Linked DNA regions of Saccharomyces cerevisiae S288C. The gene in region 1 interacts genetically with each later gene. Each region holds a gene or a part of one and is shown in the gene's direction. Other genes may lie near its edges.

The links.
Region 2: mutations in HUB1 (region 1) and CUP1-1 impair growth when combined (synthetic growth defect), as found in Saccharomyces cerevisiae (one study listed by BioGRID).

What each region holds. Positions count from the first base shown.
Region 1 is NC_001146.8:686,743-691,839, reverse strand, and holds HUB1 (ubiquitin-like protein HUB1), read left to right. Parts: upstream 1-4,375; coding exon 4,376-4,597; downstream 4,598-5,097. Other genes in the region: SOL1 (Sol1p), read right to left, coding at 554-1,519; ABZ1 (4-amino-4-deoxychorismate synthase), read right to left, coding at 1,842-4,205; putative serine/threonine-protein kinase PPG1, read right to left, coding at 4,724-5,097. UniProt on the Saccharomyces cerevisiae protein: Forms conjugate with SPH1 and HBT1. Involved in morphogenesis.
Region 2 is NC_001140.6:201,487-218,540, reverse strand, and holds CUP1-1 (metallothionein CUP1-1), read left to right. Parts: upstream 1-5,820; coding exon 5,821-6,006; downstream 6,007-17,054. Other genes in the region: peptidylprolyl isomerase CPR2, read left to right, coding at 1-315; RSC30 (Rsc30p), read left to right, coding at 707-3,358; metallothionein CUP1-2, read left to right, coding at 3,823-4,008; YHR054C-B (uncharacterized protein), read left to right, coding at 3,851-4,024; YHR054C (uncharacterized protein), read left to right, coding at 4,292-5,356; YHR052C-B (uncharacterized protein), read left to right, coding at 5,849-6,022; CIC1 (Cic1p), read right to left, coding at 6,563-7,693; COX6 (cytochrome c oxidase subunit VI), read right to left, coding at 8,390-8,836; YHR050W-A (uncharacterized protein), read right to left, coding at 8,896-9,066; divalent metal ion transporter SMF2, read right to left, coding at 9,238-10,887; and 2 more. UniProt on the Saccharomyces cerevisiae protein: Protects the cell against copper toxicity by tightly chelating copper ions. May also act as a depository for copper designated for the effective transfer into the apo forms of copper proteins.

The sequences.
Region 1 (5,097 bases):
TTTTACATTTTCTACACGTAGAGTTAAGGTTTTTATATCCGTTGTATACCTACCACTGCTATGTATGTTGAATCATGTTTGTGTGGATAGTCTACACACAAAGCTTGATAATGCCATACGAATAAGGTGGTCTTGCAAACTGATTCTTCGTAAACTCTGTAATTAACATTTTGTTTCAATCTCTCACTTCGCTTAAGACCAAATAATCTCCTTGAAAGAAAAGAAAACTTAAAAGCATGCTTTTCTCTTAGCGGAAGCCATAGGTCCAAAAGGGAAATATCCACTGTGGTTGTTATTATTTTTTTCTAAAGGGTTATTGTATATATTATATATGTTGTATGTTATATATGCACACTACGTCACTAAGATGACTTGTTTTATATAAAGTTACTTCTCGAGAAAATTCAAAAACATAGGGTGATTTATTGCGATTACTAAAGGGAAGGGTGGGGATAGAAAGAGCTAAAAAAAGAAAATGGTTAAGGTTAAATCATAGTATTGTCATTAGTTGTCATTATCATCAGAAAGAAAAAGAACCCAAAAAATTAAACACCTACTCAGTCAAATTCTCATCATCATAAAACTTGTACTTCTTCTTAATTACAAAGACATCTTTCAAAGCATCGTCGTCTACAAACCATGAAACACGACCGGCGGCGCCCTCATTGACAATACTACTAGGCAATCCCTTTTCAGGCCTTTCCATTATTGTCTTGATTACAGGCGCCTTTGTGGCGCCCTCTACAACAAAGGTGACTCTATGAGAGTGACAAATCACTGGGATGGTCAGTGAAATCCTATTCGAAGGTCCGCTGGGTGCATTTTCTACAGGTATGACCCATGCCAGATTTTCACGTAGATTCTCTTGAAAATTGGGGAATAACGAGGCTATGTGACCGTCAGGAGCGCAGCCAAGCAGAAACAGATCAAACATCGGTAGTTTCACAGAATCTCTACCGGCAAATCCTTTAATTAGAATTTTCTCATAGTTATCTGCACACTCTTGAGGGTCGTTAATCAATGACTCATCAATGTGATAAATTTTCGGAGTTCCGTACTTCTCCGTATCTATTAAATCGAATATTTTTCTCTTAGCAAGACCGTAATTGCTTTCACTGGAGCTAAAGGGCACTAGTCTTTCATCAGCAAAGTAAATGTCCCATTTACCCCATTGAACGTCGTCTCTTTTCAACAATCCTTCGTGCAACACTTGGATTAACGAACCACCGGACAACGCAATCTTGAAGCGCCTTTCTTTCTCCTTTTTCAATTTCTTAGTGGCGCCGTCTTCACTACCACCACGGCTGGAGGCATTACTCCTTACAGAATTTACTCTCTCCATCGTTTTGGATTCTGTGTTACCATTTCCGTTAAGGCTCGTTCCGGACATCTGTGTGGACCTTGAGACTTTGCCCTTCTTAAGGGCAGAGTTTTGTGCGTGAATAACATGATCGGCAACTGCCTCAGCTACTCCTGCAAATTCATGGAATGCAAACACTTTAGGTACGGTTGTTGTCATCTTGCAAAAAATTATTCCAGTTAAAATCTATTTTCTCGGGCCTCTTTTATGTACTAAAATGTTATAATATCTATTATCTTATGGTTTGAAAGAATTCTGCTCCGTCAAGCATACATTATAACCTATTGATAAGTAAATTGGAAGGAAAGTCTTCCCTAAATGACCATGCTTTAACTTTTTTCCAATATCCTTTTCCAGGGTTTTCCACGGCACAAAACGTCATTTTCCTAAAGCGAAAAAAAAAAAAAATTCTGCATCGTACAAGAATAGTATATTATTCTAAAGAAAATGTTTGCATACATATCTAATAATATACAAATATCTACATGAAAATTTGTAAGTTGCTCTCCAACTTGTTGTACATTTCCTCTAGTTCGCCATCTAGTGTGCTTAAGACTGTTATGGCCCCCCCTGCACCGAGTTGCCAGCTGGTTCCGCCGTTGTAGGAATACATACATCTAATGTTAACAGACCAATCTCCGTTGGAATTCACAGACCAATATCCCGTGACACCGCTGTAAACACCACGTGCTCCACCATTGACATGTTTGTTTAGCTTGCTTTCTATCTTGTCCTGCAATAATTGCACAGTAATCTTCTTGGGGGCTCCCGTCATAGATCCCGGAGGAAGCGAGTGTTTAAGGACATCAATGCCTGAATATCTCGTCTTCTTACTGGCAGAGGTCAATCCATGTGCCTTTACGACGCTAACGAGTTGGTAAACGGTGGCATATTCTTGCACGGACATGAACTCCTCCACCCGAACGTCAGGAACCAACTCGTAAAGGTCATTTCTGATTAAGTCCAAAATCATTAAGTTCTCACCAAATTCTTTTGGTGTCTTCAGGATTCGTGTGGCTTTTGCCAAGTTCATTTGCGGTCCTTTTTTCACAGTTCCCTTGATGGGACGTAGCTCGCATGTGTCTGCATCCCACTTCAAAAACCTTTCTGGAGAAGTACTTAAGAAGCACAAAACTGGAGGCGTTTCATCTTGGCGGGGAATAATGTCTTTAAACTCAAAAAAACTTGAAAATGGAGCCGGGTTTCTTTGTACCAAGGTCTGGAAAATCCTCCAGGGTTCTATCACCGCAGATGGTACAACTTTGGTTTGCGTTGTGAGACACATTTCATAAGAATCACCCTTATGCATATAATCCTGACATTTCTTAAACGCCTTAGCGTAGTCAAGTTTATCGGGCATAGTTATAATGAAGTCTATCTCCTCTGGAAGATACTTGGGCCAGGACAGGGATTGCTTAATATTCTTCTTTCTAACAAAACTGTCCCTTAATGATTGTTCTAATGCCACTGGAAATGTATTATCCAGAGAAATACAATAAAGCTTCCCTTGCTTGTGATTAATGACTATACTATTGTTGATAAAAACTAGTTTGGCGTCGGGAACAAGGGAATTCTCATCATCATTGCAACGGCCGCATGCAATGTACTGACCTATTTCATAACCTAAAATGCCAACAAGACCTCCAATAAAAGGTATTTCTCTGTGGTTATCGATTATTTTATTCTCCATAAATTTACCCAAAGTGATCCAAAATTGGGATTTATCTTCATGTATTACCTCAAGGGAGCCAGGCAAATCCGAATCTTGACCATCTAGACACTTTTTCAACAAGGTGTAACTAATTTCACTATCTTGCCAATAATGAACTGTAGTCTTTTTCATAGCTCCATAATGAGTGAATACCTGGGATGCGGAGTTTGGTAAAGCAATGATAGACCATTCACCCGTATTTTCACTAATCACAGAAGATGACATGACAAATTTTTCTTCTCGTATGATGTTGCAAATTTCAAATGTCAATTTCGGGTCTTCAGAGACCTCGAACTGCTTAACGTAAGTTGTGTCCTCGCCCTTCGGATATTTCTCTTTTACCTTGTATATGGGGTCTCTATCAATAGTCCTATCCAATCGAGATAGGATATCGGAAAACTCTCCATTAAGTTTCTTCTTTTCCCACCTTCCTGTCTTCACGTTATTTATGAAACTCAACTTGAGAAAGTTACTGACTAACAGCCCCCCCAATTCTGAACAACATGACTCCGGGTGGTACTGTACGCCAAACCATGGCTTATTTTTCGTTTGAGCACTCATCAAAAGAATACCGTTCTCATCTTCGGTTGTGCATAAGGGCAAAAGGGTGTCAATGCCTTCGGCATTGACATGCAATGAATGGTACCTCGTAGATTTGAACGTATCGGGATAACCAGAAAAAAGGCCACAAGCTCTGGCTGCATCGTTTAAATGCATTTCATACACTTGCCCATGCTTGATAGTATTTAGCTCACTGACATCAGCACCTTGAGCCAAGCACATTGCTTGGAACCCAAGACATATACCCAATATTGGAACTTCATCTAACTTTCCATTGGCATTCTCGAAAAGCTCAGATATTATACCCATATCTTGTGCACCATTGTTGGGATTCCCAGGTCCTGGGCCAACAACGATAGCATCAAAAAGCGGCAAAAGTGGCAATAGCTGATCCATAGATTGGAACGTATCACTATGTACCGTCGTCACGTGCACGGCGTTGACTCCCGGTGAGATATCAGTTTGTTGTTCAATTAGTCTCACTACATTGTAGGTGAATGAATCATAAGAGTCTATGAACAGGACATGAAGCTGTTGCTGTTGTTGCTTTGTGTCAATTGTATCGGACAGCATTCCTTTATCCCCCTTGTGAAATCTCGAAAGGTCATCGTGTAAAAGTTCTACGGGAGACTTGCTTGTTTTTATATATTCGCGGTTTTGGCTGAGAGAGATGAGGAGGGAGAGGAAAAGATTGAGAAAGAGGAGCGGTGGCAAAGCTTAGATTGCAAATAAATACTCTGAAAATGATTGAGGTAGTTGTGAATGACCGATTAGGCAAAAAAGTCAGAGTGAAGTGCCTTGCTGAAGATAGTGTAGGTGATTTCAAAAAAGTATTGTCCTTGCAAATTGGCACCCAACCAAACAAAATTGTGTTGCAGAAGGGTGGAAGTGTTTTAAAAGACCATATCTCTCTGGAAGATTATGAGGTACATGATCAGACAAATTTGGAGCTGTATTACCTGTAGAAAATGCGCTGTTTTTTTTTTTTTGATCTAAATACACAATACATACATTTGCAACCGAGAGAGATAGAATATGTAGAAATAATAAGATGGCGTTGTCTCTATAATGCTTTTCTATTGTTTAGTAAGCTACAAGAAGTAATCAACATGTCTGTTAGAAGCAGATCTGGCTTGGTATACATCTGAAAATATGTACATTTCAGGGTCCGTGGAGCCATCTGCGGAGGCAGAGTCGTCTTCGAAATAATCTGCAATCAATTTCCTGTTGGCTACCGGATTAGATATGCTATCTTCTAAGGCATTGTCGTTCATACTGTTCTCTTTCAACAGTTTATTTTCAGGTGCCTCTTCGAAAACGTTGAAGTAGAATTGATCTTTACTATACAGCTCCAGAATAGATGCTTTATTGCCGCACCGATAACAATAGTTTGGCGCCGACCATACAGTAGTAACCAATCCATCAAAATATATCTGGTAACCTTCGTTACATAACTGATGGGCTC
Region 2 (17,054 bases), on another chromosome or scaffold:
GACGGCACTGGCGTTGGTGGCAAATCCATCTATGGAGATACTTTCCCTGACGAAAACTTTACTTTGAAGCATGATCGCAAGGGCAGACTATCGATGGCTAATCGTGGTAAAGATACCAATGGATCTCAGTTCTTCATCACCACTACGGAAGAAGCGTCGTGGCTCGATGGAAAGCATGTGGTATTTGGACAGGTTGTGGACGGCATGGATGTGGTGAACTACATACAGCACGTGTCCAGAGATGCGAATGACAAACCTCTCGAGGCGGTCAAGATCGCAAAATGCGGTGAGTGGACGCCTGAGCTCTCTTCTTGAGTATATGCAATATTTCATACTATATACATAGATATCAATTTCAGTATGTATAGTTAAAGGTAAATTAACTAGAGAACGTGGGAACAGTTCCGCACTGTGACCACCGGAACGTACGTCTGGTTAGCGCAGCATTAGTCCCAGTTACATCCGATTCAAAATGCAACAGCAAGTATTAATTGGGGAAATCATATCATTTTGAATATAACCTTGGCGTCCTACTAAGGATGGTTATACATCCTAGCTCGTGTAGTGTGATATTTTGCAGGAATGATGCAAAGAGAGGAAGAACAAGAAGAGAGTTGTTGTTTTTAATGTATCTTAGCAATTTATGAGAGGAGCATTGTCGTTGTCTGCTGTGACTAGTGCGTAGCTTTGCCGTTTGTTTTTAATCATGATGGACATGCAAGTGAGAAAAGTGAGGAAGCCGCCTGCTTGCACCCAATGCAGGAAGAGAAAGATCGGGTGCGACAGGGCAAAACCGATATGTGGGAATTGCGTCAAGTATAACAAGCCGGACTGTTTTTATCCAGATGGACCTGGTAAGATGGTCGCTGTGCCCTCTGCGTCCGGGATGTCCACGCACGGCAATGGCCAAGGTTCCAACCATTTTAGTCAGGGAAACGGTGTAAATCAGAAAAACGTAATGATTCAAACGCAGTATCCGATTATGCAAACGTCGATAGAGGCATTCAACTTCTCGTTCAACCCCTCTGTGGATACTGCGATGCAGTGGACCAAGGCCGCTAGCTACCAGAATAATAACACCAATAATAATACTGCTCCTCGTCAGAATAGTAGTACCGTTAGTAGTAATGTTCATGGAAACACTATTGTGAGAAGCGATAGTCCAGATGTGCCCTCCATGGATCAGATTAGAGAATATAACACACGATTACAACTGGTTAACGCTCAAAGTTTTGACTATACAGATAACCCATACTCTTTTAATGTTGGTATCAATCAAGACTCGGCCGTTTTCGATCTAATGACTTCTCCGTTTACTCAAGAGGAAGTATTAATCAAGGAGATAGACTTTTTAAAAAACAAATTGCTTGATTTACAAAGCTTGCAACTGAAAAGTTTGAAAGAAAAATCGAATTTAAATGCCGACAATACCACGGCAAACAAAATTAACAAAACAGGTGAGAATTCTAAGAAAGGCAAGGTTGACGGTAAAAGAGCCGGATTTGATCATCAGACTTCAAGGACTTCTCAGTCCTCACAAAAATACTTTACAGCGCTCACAATAACAGATGTGCAAAGTTTAGTCCAAGTGAAACCGTTGAAGGATACCCCCAACTACCTTTTCACTAAAAACTTCATCATTTTTAGAGATCATTATCTTTTCAAGTTCTATAATATTTTGCACGATATCTGCCATATTAATCAGTTCAAAGTAAGTCCTCCTAACAATAAAAATCACCAACAATATATGGAAGTTTGCAAAGTTAACTTCCCACCAAAAGCAATAATTATTGAGACACTAAACTCTGAATCCCTTAACAATCTGAATATTGAAGAATTTTTGCCAATCTTTGACAAAACCCTCTTACTAGAATTTGTTCATAACTCTTTTCCAAATGGTGATACCTGTCCTTCATTCTCAACGGTCGATCTTCCTTTATCTCAACTGACCAAACTAGGCGAATTAACTGTGCTTCTACTGTTGTTAAACGATTCAATGACCCTATTCAATAAGCAGGCTATTAATAACCATGTTTCGGCATTAATGAATAATTTGAGGTTGATTCGAAGCCAAATCACATTGATAAACCTGGAATATTATGACCAAGAGACAATCAAATTTATTGCCATCACAAAATTTTATGAATCTCTGTACATGCATGATGATCATAAATCAAGTTTAGACGAAGATTTGAGCTGTCTGTTAAGCTTCCAGATAAAAGATTTCAAGTTATTCCATTTTTTGAAAAAAATGTATTACTCAAGACATTCGCTTCTAGGTCAGTCTTCATTCATGGTACCCGCTGCTGAAAACCTATCTCCGATACCTGCCTCTATTGATACGAACGACATTCCTTTAATTGCTAACGATTTAAAATTACTGGAAACGCAAGCAAAATTGATAAATATTCTGCAAGGTGTTCCTTTCTACTTGCCAGTAAATTTAACCAAAATTGAAAGTCTGTTAGAAACCTTGACTATGGGCGTGAGTAATACAGTAGACTTATATTTTCATGACAACGAAGTCAGAAAAGAATGGAAAGACACTTTAAATTTTATCAATACCATTGTTTATACAAATTTTTTCCTTTTTGTTCAAAACGAATCCTCTTTGTCCATGGCAGTTCAACATTCTTCTAACAACAATAAGACCTCGAACTCTGAAAGATGTGCAAAGGATCTGATGAAAATTATTTCTAATATGCACATTTTTTACTCAATAACATTTAATTTTATCTTCCCCATAAAGTCGATAAAGTCATTTTCAAGCGGCAATAATCGCTTTCATTCTAATGGTAAAGAATTTTTATTCGCAAATCATTTTATTGAAATCTTACAGAATTTTATAGCAATCACATTTGCTATTTTCCAACGTTGTGAAGTAATATTATATGACGAATTTTACAAAAATCTTTCAAATGAGGAGATTAATGTTCAATTGCTATTGATTCATGACAAGATTTTGGAAATTTTAAAAAAAATAGAAATTATCGTATCCTTTTTACGAGATGAAATGAATAGCAACGGAAGTTTCAAATCTATTAAAGGTTTCAACAAGGTTTTGAATCTGATTAAATATATGCTGAGATTTAGCAAGAAAAAACAAAATTTTGCGAGAAACTCTGATAACAATAATGTTACAGATTATAGTCAGTCGGCGAAGAACAAAAATGTTCTCTTGAAATTCCCCGTTAGTGAACTGAACAGAATCTATTTAAAATTTAAGGAGATTTCAGATTTTTTAATGGAAAGAGAAGTTGTCCAAAGGAGTATAATTATTGACAAGGATTTGGAATCTGATAATCTGGGTATTACTACGGCAAACTTCAACGATTTCTATGATGCATTTTATAATTAGTAAGCCGATCCCATTACCGACATTTGGGCGCTATACGTGCATATGTTCATGTATGTATCTGTATTTAAAACACTTTTGTATTATTTTTCCTCATATATGTGTATAGGTTTATACGGATGATTTAATTATTACTTCACCACCCTTTATTTCAGGCTGATATCTTAGCCTTGTTACTAGTTAGAAAAAGACATTTTTGCTGTCAGTCACTGTCAAGAGATTCTTTTGCTGGCATTTCTTCTAGAAGCAAAAAGAGCGATGCGTCTTTTCCGCTGAACCGTTCCAGCAAAAAAGACTACCAACGCAATATGGATTGTCAGAATCATATAAAAGAGAAGCAAATAACTCCTTGTCTTGTATCAATTGCATTATAATATCTTCTTGTTAGTGCAATATCATATAGAAGTCATCGAAATAGATATTAAGAAAAACAAACTGTACAATCAATCAATCAATCATCACATAAAATGTTCAGCGAATTAATTAACTTCCAAAATGAAGGTCATGAGTGCCAATGCCAATGTGGTAGCTGCAAAAATAATGAACAATGCCAAAAATCATGTAGCTGCCCAACGGGGTGTAACAGCGACGACAAATGCCCCTGCGGTAACAAGTCTGAAGAAACCAAGAAGTCATGCTGCTCTGGGAAATGAAACGAATAGTCTTTAATATATTCATCTAACTATTTGCTGTTTTTAATTTTTAAAAGGAGAAGGAAGTTTAATCGACGATTCTACTCAGTTTGAGTACACTTATGTATTTTGTTTAGATACTTTGTTAATTTATAGGTATACGTTAATAATTAAGAAAAGGAAATAAAGTATCTCCATATGTCGCCCCAAGAATAAAATATTATTACCAAATTCTAGTTTGCCTAACTTACAACTCTGTATAGAATCCCCAGATTTCGAATAAAAAAAAAAAAAAAAGCTATTCATGGTACCCGCTGCTGAAAACCTATCTCCGATACCTGCCTCTATTGATACGAACGACATTCCTTTAATTGCTAACGATTTAAAATTACTGGAAACGCAAGCAAAATTGATAAATATTCTGCAAGGTGTTCCTTTCTACTTGCCAGTAAATTTAACCAAAATTGAAAGTCTGTTAGAAACCTTGACTATGGGCGTGAGTAATACAGTAGACTTATATTTTCATGACAACGAAGTCAGAAAAGAATGGAAAGACACTTTAAATTTTATCAATACCATTGTTTATACAAATTTTTTCCTTTTTGTTCAAAACGAATCCTCTTTGTCCATGGCAGTTCAACATTCTTCTAACAACAATAAGACCTCGAACTCTGAAAGATGTGCAAAGGATCTGATGAAAATTATTTCTAATATGCACATTTTTTACTCAATAACATTTAATTTTATCTTCCCCATAAAGTCGATAAAGTCATTTTCAAGCGGCAATAATCGCTTTCATTCTAATGGTAAAGAATTTTTATTCGCAAATCATTTTATTGAAATCTTACAGAATTTTATAGCAATCACATTTGCTATTTTCCAACGTTGTGAAGTAATATTATATGACGAATTTTACAAAAATCTTTCAAATGAGGAGATTAATGTTCAATTGCTATTGATTCATGACAAGATTTTGGAAATTTTAAAAAAAATAGAAATTATCGTATCCTTTTTACGAGATGAAATGAATAGCAACGGAAGTTTCAAATCTATTAAAGGTTTCAACAAGGTTTTGAATCTGATTAAATATATGCTGAGATTTAGCAAGAAAAAACAAAATTTTGCGAGAAACTCTGATAACAATAATGTTACAGATTATAGTCAGTCGGCGAAGAACAAAAATGTTCTCTTGAAATTCCCCGTTAGTGAACTGAACAGAATCTATTTAAAATTTAAGGAGATTTCAGATTTTTTAATGGAAAGAGAAGTTGTCCAAAGGAGTATAATTATTGACAAGGATTTGGAATCTGATAATCTGGGTATTACTACGGCAAACTTCAACGATTTCTATGATGCATTTTATAATTAGTAAGCCGATCCCATTACCGACATTTGGGCGCTATACGTGCATATGTTCATGTATGTATCTGTATTTAAAACACTTTTGTATTATTTTTCCTCATATATGTGTATAGGTTTATACGGATGATTTAATTATTACTTCACCACCCTTTATTTCAGGCTGATATCTTAGCCTTGTTACTAGTTAGAAAAAGACATTTTTGCTGTCAGTCACTGTCAAGAGATTCTTTTGCTGGCATTTCTTCTAGAAGCAAAAAGAGCGATGCGTCTTTTCCGCTGAACCGTTCCAGCAAAAAAGACTACCAACGCAATATGGATTGTCAGAATCATATAAAAGAGAAGCAAATAACTCCTTGTCTTGTATCAATTGCATTATAATATCTTCTTGTTAGTGCAATATCATATAGAAGTCATCGAAATAGATATTAAGAAAAACAAACTGTACAATCAATCAATCAATCATCACATAAAATGTTCAGCGAATTAATTAACTTCCAAAATGAAGGTCATGAGTGCCAATGCCAATGTGGTAGCTGCAAAAATAATGAACAATGCCAAAAATCATGTAGCTGCCCAACGGGGTGTAACAGCGACGACAAATGCCCCTGCGGTAACAAGTCTGAAGAAACCAAGAAGTCATGCTGCTCTGGGAAATGAAACGAATAGTCTTTAATATATTCATCTAACTATTTGCTGTTTTTAATTTTTAAAAGGAGAAGGAAGTTTAATCGACGATTCTACTCAGTTTGAGTACACTTATGTATTTTGTTTAGATACTTTGTTAATTTATAGGTATACGTTAATAATTAAGAAAAGGAAATAAAGTATCTCCATATGTCGCCCCAAGAATAAAATATTATTACCAAATTCTAGTTTGCCTAACTTACAACTCTGTATAGAATCCCCAGATTTCGAATAAAAAAAAAGCATATGTATTAATCCTAAAATGTATTATGAGAACGTCTTTTAAAGGTAAAATGCTGTTATCCCCGTCACTTTCAATGATCTATTTATTTGAAGCGGATAGTACAACAGATCAGTCTAAAACGTATAAGCTCTTAGACCGAGAAACCAATATTCAAATAATGACTTTATTTTTAATATACACTTCAAACATATATAGATATATACATATGCACCGCACTCTATGAAATTCAAATTTTTTTCTTCACAAGAAAAAAATGAGAGAAAAGATAGATAAGGAGGAAACAAATTAACTTTTAGCCTTCTTGACAGCTTCTGACTCGCTAGATTCTTTTTCAAGCTCGCTAGAAGATCTCTTTTTTGCATTGTTAATTTGTTTAGAGAAAATTGAACCCAATTCGGAAGGATTGGCGATTTCCATCAAACCCTTGTTGAAGGTAGACAAATGAACTTGTACACCATCAATGGTGACCATGTCATCTTCGTGGGTTTCTTCGATTTTGTCCTTTTTAGCTTCAAGTTCATCAAGAACGTCCTGGTTATAGTATAATGGCAATACGGGCGACCTATTGGTCTTGATAAAAATGGATCTGATTTGGTATGCTTTGATTAACTGTTCAGAAATTAATTCAACGTTATCTACAAACTCTTCTGGCCTTAACCATTCTAAATTACCCAAATGGACATTCAACGTGGTACCTCTTGGAAGTTTAACGGGCAACTGATTCATGTAAACCTTTTTGATATTGTTCGTCAAAGTGGTCAAGGAAAATTCCTTATTTGCATGTGTTCTAATTGATATAGGAGTAGTTTCTACTTTGTTGTAGGCTTTGCCTCCCATAAGTTTTGGCAAAGATGTAACTATACTGTCGTCAGCCAAAATCAAAGAAAACTGAGATATAAAAGCGTTTCTAGCCTCATATGCCTTGTAAACGGTCTTTAAGTCTTTCCCGCAAATGATTTCATCAACCTTGATTCCTTCTGAATCTAATTGATCAAATAAATCATCTTCTGAAACTTTCTTAATATCAGAATCCTTCAAAATTAATAAAACTTTGAAATCCTTAACCGCTGTTGCACTGGCTTCTTTCCAAGGCTTGTAAAACGAATGTTTGACATTTAGTAATTTCAATTTGAATGATTTGGAAGTACCGGTGAATGATTTATTATTTACTACGATTAATTGCAGATCTTTCTTCAATTCTTCTTCATCATCTTCCAATAGGTTTTTCTTACCGTTATTTCCTTCTTCATTATTTTCATCTTGTGGCTTGGAAGTGAATTTTATAAGCTCGTTGACAGCTTTAATAACTCTTTCCCTAGGAATGGCTGTGGAAGATTTCTTTTCAATAACCTTCTTCTTTTCTTTGCTTGGTGTACTTACAGGCGTAGATTTCTTTGAGTTACTCTTTTTAGCCATTTTATACTTTATAGTCTGGAACGTAGGTTTATCTGCCTGCTGTCTAATATTTCTTATAAAACAGACACTATTCTTTATGCAGTATACAAACGCTTTTTGTTACTTTTCAAAATTTGCGATGAGCTCCAGTGGAAAAATTTTTTTCAGGAAATTGTCTTTAATTTTTTTAGTATGAAGTGACATCAACTTCACATTTATTGACGCAACGGTGAAGCACAGAATAGAATAGTAATTCTTTAATGGTATATTCTAGGTTTTTGTTTTTTATATAGTTATTTATTGTTTTATTATTTTTCCCATTCTTCTTTCCTGAAATAGAACACAAAAAAGCTACTAACAAAGGATATTAAAGGTAATCTGTGACCAGCCCTCATTACCAAAAATAAAGTTTGTTCAAGTAATAGAGTAGAGAAAACAAAGTGGAAATCATAATGGTTAAATTTAAATATTTTTCTTTTACTTTTCTTATTTCACCTCTTGTGATCTTATCGTTGATTTTGATATATTAGTTTCTGAGTGGATGAATATCCATAAAGGGTAAAACAAATAATAAGGTAAAAGGGAAGAAAAAAAAAAAATAAAAACTAAAATCGTTTTACAAAATAAATACGAATCTTATTTCAAATTGAGGAATTTTCCACAAATAAAAAAAGGACAACAAATTACAGACGTTGTGTGGTAGCTTTTTCCTTATTATTAAGAAGAGCTTGGAAATAGCTCTTCCTTTAAGGGAACGCCCAATTCTTGTCTGACATCCTTCAATTCATCCAAGTAGGCCTTGTATTGGTCTTCATTCTCCACCTTGTATTTCAAAGCCTCAAATACTCTAATTGCGGTAGGTAAGTCATTGACTCTTCTGGCAGCCCTCAAAGCTTTTTCAATAACAGCAGGAGCAGGAACTAAATCATAGGAAAAACAGTTGTTGAGCACTCTTTGCACTTCAAACAAATCATAGGCTTCATCAAACTCCTTTTCGTATCTTGCGGTGAATTCCTCAAAGGTTTCTTCATCATGTGCGTCAGAATACTTCCTACTTTGAATAAACGTATTTTTAGTCAATCTAGTTGCATGATAAGCACCAGGTCTGGCTCTCAATAAAGTTCTATTTATAACTGGATTTCTGAATATGGCCCTTGATAACATTGTTGTATATTTATTAGTTTATGTGTCAAATACAATTGTTCGGCTGTTTATCTCCGCTACTAAGTCTCAGAAGTGATACAATTTTTCAAATTGTAATAATAAATAAGTGTGCTAAAATGTGGATGAAATGTAAAGAAATGAGGTAACCTTGAGATCTGGCACCTTGATAAGCAAGAGCAATTGTTGATCTTTATTAATGCTTTGACCGGACCAATTAGGTCCCTTTTCATAGGGAGATTCAAAGAAAGCTGTAAGCGGCGGAAATAACGCGCGGGGCCCTGATTGGCTCGTATGGAGCGATACGGCCATCAGTATAGCCTAACACCAACTTTTTGATTGGAATTTTCTGTTATTATTCTTGGATAAAATGTATACTTATACTAGTCTAAAGAATTGTTATATTAGAGGTGTACTTCTTTGCCCGTAGTAAAGCCCAGTAACATATAAAAGTTCAGTCCGGAGATAATCAACCATACTATGATTGCGAGCACGGTGACGATCATTCCATTGCTCATGTCTTTGTATTCTGGAGCAGGAGAAACTAAGCTGCGCTCCTGTGAGCTGCTGCCTATGCCCATTTCTTCGAGCTCAATGGTCTCATCATCTTCGGTTCGGTCGGCCACGGGTTTTTTGTCTGTAGTTCTTGAAAGTTCTTTGGTACGGTTAAGCTGTACACGCATAATCTTCTTGCTTGAAGTGAAGTAAAGTAAAGGTGCAGAAACAAAAGGCAGCAAGAGAGAAAGTACCACTTGGGAAGCATTTAGTGCACCAGAGAGGCCGCTACGTCCAGCTACAAGCACTAAAATCAAACAAGGCGTGATGGCTACCGCTCTTGTGGCGGATCTTCTCAATGCCGGAGAAACAGTCCAATTTAAGAACCCTTCACTAACCATTTGTCCACTCAACGTACACACGATACCGGCACTCTGTCCTGAAAACAACAATGCCAGCACGAATACCGTTCCCGCTCCCTTGGAAAGAGTACTACAGAGTAAGTTGTAAATAGAAAATAAGTCAGCTTCCTCAGCATTTTGAGTGGACCCGTATAGTGTAGCGCCAGACACGATAAGAATGGCACAATTGACAAATAATGCCACCGTGAACAGCGAGATCAGTAATTCCGTTATAGTAAAGTGCAGAGTTTCACTGATGGCCTCATAGGATGGCCTGTAATTATCGTGATTGTTATCCATATCATTCGCGTCTGGCAAGTAATGTCCGTTTTTGATATCATACTCTCTTAATCTTGGTTGAACCACACCTGACCCCAAATATAATGAATGAGGCATTACCGTGGCGCCCAGAATTGCCAGACTTAAGTATAACCCATCACCTTCAAAAACGGCTTTACTGGGTAAGAACCCAGAAAATATTTCTTTGGCAGGTCCCAGTTTGGCATAAAACAGTTCAACAGTAAAGCAAACTACGGTAAGAACCACCAATAAAGAAACAAAAGCTTCAAATATTCTGATACCCTTCATGGAACCGTTAGGTTTGTAAGCTAGCAGAACAATTAAAACGTCTACCACAGTAAGTATCACACCTAGGGCGAGAGGTATATGGAAAAGGATATTCAAAGAAATAGCGGTTCCTACCACTTCTGCCAGATCTGTGGCAATAATTGCCATCTCCGCCAGAATATAAAGAGTAATGTTAAGTCCAAAGGGCAAATGTTTCTTACAATTTTGTGCCAGATCTAGGCCAGTGACAGCACCCAATCTGGCGCAGAGGTACTGCCAAAAAGCAGCCATGAAATTAGAAACTAAGACAGAAAATAAAAGCTTGTACCGATGAGCAGAACCCGCTGCTACAGCTGTACTATAGTTACCAGGATCCATGTACGATACAGATACCATCAAACCAGGACCGATGAACCTAGCATATTTTCTCAATGTTCCGATCATGCTCTGGGATGTTGAGTTTGGCTGCAAAGTTGTTCTTCGACGCGACTCATGAGTGGTATTCACGTCGGCATACGCATCGTTGACACTATCATTATTTGTTTGGGATTCATCGCTCCATTGAATAGGTTCATATTCTTGGGACGTCATCAAACATAAACGCTATACGGAAAATTAGTGGTTAAATGGCAATAGAGATGTGCTAATATTAGTATCAAAACAAATAGTTGTTGAAGAGGGTTTTCTAAACGGTTAAACGCGTTTGATGGTTAAATGACTAGAAGCAAAAGGAGACTGATTCTGAAATTTAATATGATTTCTTTTTTTTCTGCTGTTTCTCTTCTGCATTATTTTCTTCCTTCGAGAAAGAGTATAAGTATGTTTAAAAAGGTCTTCGTAAGCCACGCTAAAGCACCCCGGGTGGATTTTTCGCGCCGGGCGGGGTTAGCAGCACGCAGGATGGAAGAGAAGAGAAAGGATGCTACAAACTTGTGGTTCATTCTATACAAAGTACTTATATGTATATATACATACTCGATCAGCATTTCACTCCACACACCCTGCGTGTGATAGTAAAAAGCTAGAAAGCAGGTAAGCAACAACCTACGATTTATTCAGAAGCTTCTTGTAAGGAAGAGGTTATTTGTTCAACAATTGGTCTGATAATGTCCTTCTTGTTTGGAACCATATGTCCACCAGGGTGTTCGTAAGCCAACACCTTTTCCTTATTACCATTTTGCGCCTTCAAATAAATATCGTACAGGTACTTGGATCTGACGGATGGGACGGCTTGGTCAGAAGCACCATAGATGAAGATCATCTTGGTCTTCATGTCTGGTTTTACCGCAAATGAGTCTCTGAATTTTTCGGTTATTCTCAATTCTCCAGGATGTTCTGGGTCTGGCTCGGTGAAGGAATAGCCGGAAATGACTACACTTACCTTGAATTGTGGATGGTCTGGAACTAACTCTGAGATCTTGTTGGTGATGATAGAGGACAATGCGGCACCTTGAGAGAAACCGACAATGCCGTCGTATGGGCCATTGGCCTTGATGTGATCAACAACAGACTTCAAACCTTCTGAGATATCCAATTCGTGAGAGATTTCGCTGTGATAGAACCAGGCTCTGTTAACATCCGCATCTAGGGTGGCTTGCCATTTTTCATCATCCATTTCAAATGGCAAGTCCTTCTTTTCTAAAAGGACTGGTGCATCAATATAGTCACATTGGACATTAGCCTTCTTCAATAATTTTCTAATACCAGATGATTTTTCGGAGAAAACTTTACCGTTTTGCAAGAAGCCGTGTAAAAATAATAATTTTGGAATTTGTACAGTCATCCTTCGTTTATTACAAGCTAGAGAGTTTCAGATTTAGCTGCTACTTTTACTAGAAAATTAAGATTGGCCGCGTACATCTGGCATTTTGCACCTTTATGGTTTATATACAATATACATTGCAGCCAAAAACATTCGAAAACTAGAGAAAAAGAAAGAAAACATGCGAGAATATGCAAAAATGAAAAAATGCAAAATTTCTTTTTTCTTTGGCCTATGCGTGTTGCCTTTTGAAGATCCGAAACAATCTATCACCAATGACGTAAGCGGGAAAAGATTATGCAACATCCAAAGGAAAAAATATGCAAAAAAATCAATCATCCCATGCATACGGCGACTTGGCTCTCAGTCGGGCACCGTATTTGGTAAACAGAAATGGGACAGGAATCATCGCTACGGTCACCATTGCCAAGAGAAAGCCGGCCCAATTCACTCCCATTGACTTGTACATCTGGAGTCCGAAAAGAGGGAAGACACCGGCCATTATGCATCTCACAAATGTGTTACAAGCCATTCCAGAAGCTGCATATCTTCTATAGGCATCCACTGTATACGCAAAAACACCGGTAAAGACGAAATAAACACCTGAACCGAAAATTGCACTGCCTATAATTGGTGCAATCCAATGGACATGCTTGTAGCAGGTGAATGCAAAAATGAAGAGCCCAACTGGGGTCAAAAAGGCGCCGTAGAACAGAGGCTCGAATCTCATTTCGGGAGTCTTGACGCCATTATTTCTTTTGACTCTCCACTCAAACGTTTTTTGGAATAACAAGCAAGTAGGAGCCGAGAGTATCATGCCGACCATAATACCGATATAGGAGCATGCAATCTCCATGGGCCCAAAGTTGTAAAGTTTCTTGAACACATAAGGAAACGCTACGAAATATAAATATATTATGGCAAGTTCCAATCCAGTATAGAAGCAAAGCACACCCATCATTCGGTCTCGAAGTAACAGGCCAAAGGGTCTTTTGGTTGAGAGAAAGATTGCGGAAAGTAAGGAAGTCTGTTCGCGGGTGACTTCCAGGACAGCATAATACCGTTGATCATTTTTCTCTTTCCTCAATCTCTTAGCTTTACGTATTAACAGCATTGGTTTGTAGGTTTCAGGTATGGTAAAGATGATCATAACGAGACAACATCCAGAAGTGATGAGAAGTGTGATAAATGTCCATTTATAACTTTGATGGTATAAGGCTCCACCAATGATTGGTCCTAAAGAGGGCCCCAAAAAGGCCGATGTAGTGTATATTGCCATAGGAATACCAATTTGGTCTTTGTCGAATATATCGGCAATGGCGCCGCCAGCCACACTTAGAAAGGCTGAACCAAAAAACCCGGATAGAAATCTGCCAAACATGACACCCGTAATGGTCTTGGACCAAATGGTCAAACACTGCCATATGATACTGAGCGTAAGGGCGTATAAAAATGTGATCCTTCGTCCATATAGTTCACTTAGTGGAGACAGAAATAAAGGTCCTATACCGAGCCCAAACACATAAAGCGTAATTCCCAGAGTGCTGACTTCGTGCGAAATATGAAAGTGTTCGATTATGTGCGTTGAAGGAAGCGTCCAGCTGGACGAGATCATCGTAATTACCATCGATGTGAATGTAATTAACGAGGAAATATAATACCGGCGGGCGGTGCTCATATGCCGTGCTATATCTTCTGGGTCCGCGATGTCCTCGTTGAAGGTCACTTCATGCGATTGTTTGCCGTCATTTTTTCGTTCACTGGTCAATTCCAGATCCAGTTTTGCGGCTTTGTCTGAGTTTATTGAACAATGCTCTTCTTCAGTAGATGTCAATGCCGATGACTGTGCACTCGCTATTTGAAATTCTGCAACCATATCCTGTTGTTATATCTGCATATATATGTTCTTAGTATACAAGGTGATACCATACACCAAATGTAAGGCAAATATGCCTTTATATAGGGTCCAGGTGAACGTAACGCATCTAATAACAAGTGTTATTGCTTGACCTAATAATCTGAGATGGTCGCTTCACCGGTAGAAAAATTCTCTGCGTATTACTAATCTCAACAATAGCCAACACTAAATCCGTAGGACCGGCGAAAAGCGTGCTAATCTCCGCTTTATTGCCGGATCCGAAAGGTGTTTCTGGCATCAAGATGTTATAAATCACGGAATTAAGAGAAGGATATTAAATGTGCCATTGCATTTTATTGATATTTCCACTCACCCAGAGGGATAATAATGATCAAAACAGATATACAATTCAGCTCCACTTTTACCTGCGCAACATGACATTTCCAGAACTAGCTTACAATTCGTACACCGGTTATAATTGGTTTATGGTTTCCAATGTAGGACCAATTTTTAGAGATAAATACTGAAGCAAATATTGGATTTCTTCTGTGTTTCACACGAAGAATATGAGTGAACCATTATTCCGGCTTTTGTTTCCTACAGCAAGATGTAAGTTATCTGGTTTGCTTATTACTTAGAAAAAGGGCTCCTGCTGGTGGAGGTAAATTAGATTATGCACCTATCGGCGGGTTAGCGTTGGGCCGTAGCCTTTTGGTCGCTTGCATTTACCACGTATTTTTTCCTTTCAATTTATTATAAGCTTAGAGATACGATTTCAAGGCGCAGCTCTTCTGTTAGCAGTTTTCTCTACGACTTTGTATGAGGTTCATCTCATTTTGTTAGCTTCTATTCACATACCTACTATAACACTAATCCTGCTATGGTTCAGACCCAAATATCTTCAACCCCTGCCATAGGAACTGTAAAAAATAGATTGTAATTCAAAGTACCTTCAGAAAAAAAAAGTTATATACGGCGCATACTACACAGTACGCAATGTGTCACTTGGTACCGCTGTTCTTATGTTCGTTTAAACAAGATCTCGAGGTTTGAGTCAATGTACGAGATTTTGAAACCATGAGGGATGTGCCCTCAAACTTTATGATCTGGTTTCTTTTTTTATTTATATCGTTTTTATGCTGGGTTACGTTGTTGTTTTATATTCCTTGTCTAGTATTACGGTCAGCAGAGGCCAAATCCTATATGCATTATATGTGGTTAGCATTGACTCCTTAATAGAACGGCCAGTTATCAATCAAATTGCCTATAAGCATGGATCACTAGCGGCTAGTATTGTATTGCATTTGGAATAGCCCTCTTCGTTGAGCCACAAAGATATCTTGCGGAAATGTGGCTAAAGCAACTTTTGATGATTGCTGGGAAACGGTTTGGTAAACTGCTGAAGCAATTGTTGTACACAATACTTCTGCTTTTGGCCCCATCTGGATTTTTCATTTCCGCTTTTGCCTCAGGTGCAACAATAACTATCTTTGAGCATCGTACCACCAATACAAAAGGATATGATCGTTATCATACAGAATTTTTCATGGATTTTGCATGTTTCGGTATAACTTTACGTAGGTGAATTATTGAAGGGCTTTGTGATAGGTGTGGATGTACCTGCCGTGCGTTGATGACCTTCAACTGATCGGAACAAATTGCTATTACATGTAAAAATCTCATGTATGAGCGAATCTTTTTGTGTTATAGGCAATCACCTAGAAAAGCTTGGAAATTGGTCCTGAGTTTTTTGTTGATGGTAAGTGCATTTTTTTAGTATGAAAGGTTTACGATATTAGCTGCTAAGTTCTCCCTTGCCCTAGTGAATTACGTTTTTTTCGATTAAAAGGGTTGGTCCCGAAATTGACCTCTTATATGTACCTCAATTGCAGATAGCATCAAATTTAGACTACGTCATCAACCAAATTACACCCTATGAAAAACATAAGATTATAAGCATGCGTTTGTGTAAAGGTCATACCATTTTATACGTTGACGCAATGGTGCAAATAGAAAGGTTTACGAAAGCTCTTATTCCGCTTAGCGCAATTCTATTGTTAATTTCAAGTAAAAAGATAAATATCTCACGTCCTTATATTATCTTTGATTAAAATTTCACGATCAATGTAACGAAAAAAGGTCGCAAATATTTCTTTTTCATCACTCTGATTAAACAATGGCATCATGAAACGCTCATTGGATCGTTACACGTTCTCATTGTACATATGTATGATTTAGAACAGCTTGTTCGCCTGATCTCCACCTTATACCCTCATCTTACCGCAGTGCGGTTTTACGCCTCATGTTATTTTTGCCAGCTTTAATAACAACATCAGTAATATTACGTTATTGGATCTTCCACTCCGGTTCGAGGAAAAAAAGAGAGGAGGAGAAACGCATAAGCTACAATAATGAGTGAGTTAACGCTTTAATTTGCTCAGTGATCATTGCTAGCCGGATATTTGTGTTTTTGTAGAACCCAGCCATACCTAATCATCTCAGTATATTATCTGAATTCTTGACTCAAAATATGGATTTTCTCGAACGTCTCACTTCCAATCATCCCATCAAATGCTGTGGATGAAAACATTTAAAACACGGGCAAGAAAAAATGAGTATAGTATAGTTGTGGCCAGTTCTTGTTGTACTAATGCACTTGCTTTCGTATCAAAGTTGAAGAAGCACTGAAAGAACAACAAAAAATTTATTAAAAGCAAAAATCATTCTACGTTCAACGAAAATGTAAGGCAAATATATCTTTATATAGGCAAGCATAACCGACGCTAACTTTGTTCGAGCTTCATCAACGTTATTAATATCGTAGTTATTCCGCTTTGTCTCAATAAGCTTTTGCTTACTTGAGAAAAAGAACGAAGTTTCTGTTTGAGATTTTCCTTCTCATTTTCTTTGAAATTTAAAGGAGAAATATTCAGCTCTATACATTCTTTGTTCGAGTATGTTACACATCACCTTACAATGGGAACATCCTATGATGACATACTTCTTCTCGATGATTTATTTTTTTTCTCAGCAAACGCTGTTTTCTAGGCGGTGAAAAACGGGAGTCTTCATCCCACATTTTTTGAACTCGTTGTGAAAGTTTTTTTTCGTACTCTTGGACTTGGCTGTGGGAGTTTG